Linked DNA regions of Coturnix japonica. The protein of the gene in region 2 purifies or fractionates together with the protein of the main gene of each other region. This does not show direct contact. Links are inferred from orthologs where the notes say so. Each region holds a gene or a part of one and is shown on either strand. Other genes may lie near its edges.

What was found.
Region 1: the proteins of OGDH (region 2) and DLST fractionate together in Homo sapiens (co-fractionation; 3 studies listed by BioGRID). This does not show direct contact. The link is inferred for Coturnix japonica from reciprocal best matches to the Homo sapiens genes OGDH and DLST.

What each region holds. Positions count from the first base shown.
Region 1 is NC_029520.1:34,564,986-34,567,467, reverse strand, and holds the end of DLST (dihydrolipoyllysine-residue succinyltransferase component of 2-oxoglutarate dehydrogenase complex, mitochondrial), read right to left. Parts: intron 2,291-2,482; coding exon 2,123-2,290; intron 1,909-2,122; coding exon 1,774-1,908; 3' UTR 699-1,773; downstream 1-698. UniProt on the Homo sapiens protein: Dihydrolipoamide succinyltransferase (E2) component of the 2-oxoglutarate dehydrogenase complex. The 2-oxoglutarate dehydrogenase complex catalyzes the overall conversion of 2-oxoglutarate to succinyl-CoA and CO(2).
Region 2 is NC_029537.1:122,690-126,504, reverse strand, and holds part of OGDH (2-oxoglutarate dehydrogenase, mitochondrial), read left to right. Parts: intron 1-231; coding exon 232-347; intron 348-678; coding exon 679-833; intron 834-1,166; coding exon 1,167-1,313; intron 1,314-1,433; coding exon 1,434-1,524; intron 1,525-1,635; coding exon 1,636-1,815; intron 1,816-2,457; coding exon 2,458-2,586; intron 2,587-2,801; coding exon 2,802-2,981; intron 2,982-3,211; coding exon 3,212-3,364; intron 3,365-3,815. UniProt on the Homo sapiens protein: 2-oxoglutarate dehydrogenase (E1o) component of the 2-oxoglutarate dehydrogenase complex (OGDHC). Participates in the first step, rate limiting for the overall conversion of 2-oxoglutarate to succinyl-CoA and CO(2) catalyzed by the whole OGDHC.

The DNA.
Region 1 (2,482 bases), on a different chromosome or scaffold from region 2:
TCCCCCCTTCCCTCCTCTTCTAACCTTCTATCTCAGTCAGACACAAAGGAAAGCTAATGCCACACATTCCTCCTTAGCTGCCAGGAAGCACTGCAGCTGTGCGTGCAATAGTTTTCTCTCAGAAGAGGCTGCCTTTACTCATAGCTGGTAAAGACAAGCCATTCTCTGAAGCTTGTGTGAGAGACGGGAAAACCCTACTGCAATCCAGGAATTGGTTTCTTAATGTTCCCACAGGGACAGCTCCTTGCAGAAATGCTCTCAGTGCCCCTAATGAGACAGCTTTCGGTTTACACTTCTTGCCTCCTTTCTCTCTCTGCAGCCCTTAATATCCTTTTTCTCACTGTCACAACCCCTGTTGTATCAGGGAAAAACCAACCTGGCTCCAGAACCACACTGTGAGAGCTTGTCCCAGTTCTCGCTCTTGGCCATCACACCACTTAGAAAAGACTGGGATTTTTTTTCTGTTGATAGGCAAAGAAATCTGGAAAAAAGATACTTTCCAGCCTCAGAACCTCATATTTTCCAGTAAGAGACAGTTCTGTGCCAGAGGATTTGAGAACAGGAGAGTTCAGAGACAGAGAAACTTCCATTTACTATCACCGCCTCCAGTCCCCTTTCTCTCACTCTCATGCTGTGCTACAGAGGCTGCTGCTGCCCAAGGCCTCACTCAGGACCCACCCCCCCAAACACAGCCCACCTTGCAGTTGTTGACCAGTTTTATTTCATTTAAAATCCGCTGTGTTAAATATTTTAGTTACACGTTCTGTGTAGAGGGTAAGAGTAATAGACTCTGCAGGCACTAGCAACCCCCTCACTCCCCAGTACATGTGTGCGCTATCAGATTAAGGACTGCCCCCCTCCCCCCAAAACCAGCAGCCTTGGGCTGGCATATACATTACACTTGCAGACCAGCCCCCCCAACCCCCCCCAGCTCTCTGCTGGTAGCAGGCCAAGCCCTCACACGCAGACCCATCCATCAGTACACTGTGATTCAAGGACAGCTGCTGGGGGCTGTTTCTTAGCCTAGTGTTGGGCATGTCATGGTGAAAGGGTGGCCTCCCATCCCCAGGAACAGTGCTACCTCCACAGAGATCATGGGCTCTGCCCACCTGGCCACGAACATTCGTGGCTCAGTGGCCAGGCTAGAGAGAGACAGATGATCTCCGACAGAAAGCAGGGGAGATGCAACCACTGCATTCCGGTCTGTGGAGGGAGTGTAATTAGGGCACTGCCAAGGGCACAACACCTACCTCAGCTCTGCTCTGATCAAAATCTCTGCTGCAATTGGCCTGAGGGAACCCAGGCTGCCCTTGCAAGACAGGTGAAAGTGATATATTTTCAAGCAAAACGGGGACAGAACAGTAGCCTTTCCTCTCCCTCCCCTCCCAGAACCTCAGTGCTAGGAAATAAAGCTGAACCCACCTTGGAGTGGCAGGGAAGGGTACCCTAGCACAGCAGCAGCAAGCATTTTCCAGTGGTATTGGACAAGCTAGAGGTGAGAGTTTGGTGCCGTGAAGGAGAGGATGCCACACAGATGGCTCCAGAAAGGCAGTGCCGTTCAGTGGTGGCAATCCTAGTGAGAGACTGAACCATCCATTAAACAGAACAGGAAAGGAGGTAGGAGCTATCCTCCCAGTTCCCTCTGGGACATCTCTGATCTCAGGGGTGGGAAGGAGACTGGAATGGCCCCAGCCAGTTCCTGAATGCCCTGCGTTGCGCCCCTGCTGGTGCTGCGTCTATGCCCTGGGAGGGTCGTGTGAGGGTGTGGCTGCTCTACAGGTCAAGCAGCAGCACGCGGGGATCCTCCACCGCTGCCTTGATCTTGCGTAGGAAAGTCACTGCCTCTCTGCCGTCGATCAGCCGGTGATCGTAGGTCAGTGCCACGTACATCATGGGCCGGACCTCGATCTGAAGGGAGAGAACAAGACGGGTACTGGTGTGTTCAGCCCTACTGCCTGCAGGACACCCTCCTCTCAATCTGGGGAAGACTTGGTTTTCCAATCATAGTCAAGCCTTTCAGAAGGCGACATCACGTCCCCTAGAAACAGCATATGAGGCACGATCCTTATCCCACAGAGCCCTCCTCTCTACTTATTGAAACCTCCTGTGCAGCTCCACCTACCTTGCCTCCCACAGCCACAGGCCTGTCAAAGATGGCATGCATGCCTAAGATAGCAGACTGTGGAGGGTTGATGATAGGTGTCCCAAAGAGTGACCCAAAAACCCCTCCGTTGCTGATTGTGAAAGTGCCACCATCCATGTCTTCAATAGCCAGTTCATTCTTCCGTGCCTAGAAGAAAGGTATAGTCTCAGAAAGCCACTCAGAGCACAAATGGCAAAGGACAAGGGTTTGGATGTTCACCCTCCCCAGGAATAAATGTTGATGGTCAGAGCTTCACTTATTTATTTGTTCAACTGAAAACCAGCAGCAATTACTTGAAAACACGTTCTGTTTTAAGACTCCAATATTTGCTGTTTCTGG
Region 2 (3,815 bases):
CACACCTTTTGCTCCATGGCCTTTCGTTGTGACCTGGTTGTCTCGTGCTCGATGTTAATTGCTGCTTGGTTGATGCTCTCAAACCTCCTCCGTGCTCATTTTGGGTTTTGTGCTGCTTTTATCCCCCTCCCCTCCCCTCTCCTCCCTTCCCCACCTGCGGCCGTTCCCCCCCGGCTCCATCCCTTCCTTCTCTCTCTGCTTCCGCTCTTCCCCCCCACCGCAACCCTGCAGGATTTTATGGGCTGGACGAGTCCGACCTGGACAAGGTTTTCCATCTGCCCACAACCACCTTCATCGGAGGAAATGAGTCGGCTCTTCCGCTCCGGGAGATCATCCGCCGCCTGGAGGTGAGGGCTGTGTGTGTGCAGGAGCAGCTCCTGCAGCACAAGGGCTGTTTGAGCAGCGCTGTGGCTTTGCTGCAGGTCCTTGTTTCCTTCCTGCCTCACTCCCTATTCCTGGCTGACCTCAGCAGGGTGATCAGTGTCTGAGATCAGCAGTGGGGTCCTCCTTCCCTGCCTTAACATGGGGTCTGCTCCTGGGAGGTGCAGCTCTGCTCGCCCTGCTGGGTGCTGAATGAGGGGACCAGAGGATGCCCTGGCATCACACAGAGCTTGGAGGGGTCTGGGGGTGTTTGCGGCTCCCAGCGGTGCCTGATGGTCTGTGCCGTGCTCTGTGCAGATGGCGTATTGTCAGCACATCGGCGTGGAGTTCATGTTCATCAACGACCTGGAGCAGTGTCAGTGGATCCGGCAGAAGTTTGAGACACCAGGGGTTATGAAGTTTACCAATGAGGAAAAAAGGACGCTGCTGGCGCGCCTGGTTCGCTCCACCAGGTACGTGATGAGCAGCGTGGCCGTGGCCCCCATTTAACCCCATTTATTTTGTGCTGGATGGCTGCCCCTGCTGGACGGTCACCACCCACATCACCTCTCCTTGGCGTCATCCACGCGGTTACGACACAGGGCTCACTCATGTGCTGCCATAGCGCTGGCACTGAGCCTGCAAAGATGATGCTGGAGAAAACAGCTAAAAATAAGGCACTGTTCAACAGCAGCACAGCAAGGAGTCAGTGTGCACATGGGGTGGGGAGCTGGGCAGACAGAGGGGCAGTGGGGTGAGCAGGGGATGTGCCCCCTGTGAGCTCCCATCTCTGCTCCCCCTTCCAGGTTTGAGGAGTTCCTCCATAGGAAATGGTCTTCGGAGAAGCGTTTCGGTCTGGAGGGCTGTGAAGTGCTGATCCCAGCCCTAAAGACCATCATTGATAAGTCGAGTGAGAAGGGAGTGGATTATGTGATCATGGGGATGCCCCACAGGTATGTGTTGGGACCCCATCCCCTCCATAGCTCTGGGCTGTAGGGCTGCCCCCTGTCTCTGTGCTGGGGGAGGCACTGGGCTGTGCTGCCTGCTGCTCACTGCCAGCACTGCTTTCACAGAGGGCGCCTGAATGTCCTCGCCAACGTGATCAGGAAGGAGCTGGAGCAGATCTTCTGCCAGTTCGACTCCAAGCTGGAGGCTGCTGACGAGGTGAGCCCTCCTCCATCCCTCAGCAACCCGCAGGCCGTGCTGCTGTGAGCTGCATCTCAGCACTGCCTGCAGCGCTGCACTGCAGTGCCGTGACCCCCCTCCCTCCCCCAGGGCTCCGGTGACGTCAAATACCACCTGGGGATGTACCACCGGCGGATCAACCGCGTCACCGACAGGAACATCACCCTGTCCCTGGTGGCCAACCCGTCCCACCTGGAGGCGGCCGACCCGGTGGTGCAAGGCAAGACCAAAGCAGAGCAGTTCTACTGCGGGGACACGGAGGGGAAGAAGGTGAGCAGTGACGTCGAGGGGCTGCCACACAAACTGCCGTCACCACGGCTGCTCCCGCGTCTCCCCCTGGTCTCTGCTGGTAGCTCCTGCCATTGCTTGACCCTGAGCAGGGCTCCCATCCCCAGCATCAGGGCTGACGCAGCTCCACGCTGCAGGGTCTCACTGTGTATGGGTGGGAGTGCTGGGGGCACCGGGATGGCTGCACCCACGTGCTGGGGGGGTTGTGCCCAATGTCACAGCCTCATTCATCGCCTGTGGCACTTCAGAAGTGGAAGGGTGGGATCAAAAGTGCTTCCCTTCCTCCCACACCGCGAGGGCTGGCAATAAGTAGAGCAGCTCTGTCCTCGCCTGGCAGGCGTCCTCAGGCAGCCCCCAACTAAAGCAGTGGAGCAGCTGATGGTACAACGAGCTCTGCCACAACGCGCTCCTTCTTTTGGGGTGAAAACATGCAGGAAAGGTGCACTGATCCCAACCCAGTCCCTGGAGCTTTGGAGCAGACGGGTGTTGGGGTGGGACAATGACCCCGAGCATCCCACAGGGATCACAGCAGCTGCCACTCAAGCGCTGTGGGAAATCATTGCACTCTCCCATGGGGCTGAGATGCGGCTGCAGCACCACTGAGTGATGTCCTTGGCCCCACAGGTGATGTCCATCCTCCTGCACGGAGATGCAGCGTTTGCAGGGCAGGGAATTGTGTACGAGACGTTCCACCTGAGCGACCTGCCCTCCTACACCACTCACGGCACAGTGCACGTCGTGGTCAACAACCAGGTGAGGGGCTGCCCAAAACCAGGGGGGATGCTGCGGCTCCAGTGCTGGGATGGAGCTGGGGAAGCCCGGCTCTGTGCAGGCCCAAGGCCTGGAAGCCTCCTGCATTCCCCAGGTGCCATGCAAGCTGATGGAGCGTGCCTGGCCCGGCGCCTGGCTTCAGTGCCAGCCGGGATCTGCAGGCAGCAGGTTGTTCCACATCCCGTCCTCCCCTCCAGATCGGTTTCACCACTGACCCACGCATGGCGCGCTCCTCCCCGTACCCCACCGACGTCGCCCGCGTGGTCAACGCTCCCATCTTCCACGTCAACGCGGACGACCCTGAGGCCGTGGTGTATGTGTGCAACGTGGCAGCAGAGTGGAGAAGCACCTTCCATAAGGACGTGGTGGTGGATTTGGTAAGGAGGTGACACCGGGCTTTGCGGCTCCTCCAGCCTTTGGGACACGGTATCAGAGGATGTTTGTGCCAGGTCCTGAGAGTGTGATGACACTGGAGGGAAAGTGCAGCCTCTGTCTGTACACCTGCCCTTGTTGCTGCTCCCTCCTGGACCTTCCATAGCACACAGACCCCGGCTGTGCGAGGCACAAAGGCTGCAGGGCTGCTCTGAGTCTCCCTCCCTCCCTGTAGGTGTGTTACAGGCGCAATGGACACAACGAGATGGACGAGCCGATGTTCACGCAGCCCCTGATGTACAAACAGATCCGGAAGCAGAAGCCGGTGCTGCAGAAATACGCCGAGCTCCTGATTTCACAGGGGGTGGTGAATCAGCCGGAGTACGAGGTACTGACACCAGGGTGCAGCTGGGCAGCGCTATGGGGCGTGGGGTGGGGGCAGAGGAGCTGGAACCCCCCAGTGCCCTCCAGGGCTCCACGACAGAAAGGTTTCAGGGCACAGCATATGGGATGCAGGGCACTGAGCACACAGACCTGCCCTGGCTGCCCCACAGCCTTGTGAGGCCACTCGGTTTGTTCAGAGCTGGGGTGGCATCTCGTGGGCCCATCGCCGCTCTCCTAAAGGTGGCAGAGCTGTGCTGCACCGCGCTGTGACTGCGCTGGGAGCTGCGGCCATGGGCTGTGCCAGCTGGGAGCAGGAACATCACGTTCCCATCTCACTCCCTTGATCCCTGCAGTGCTGAGCTGCTGCAGAGCTCTGCCTTGCAGCACTGAGGGCTGGGGCTGAGCTCAGGGCCCCCGGGGGGTGCCTGGCATGGGGGCCCACTCTGAGCCCAGGA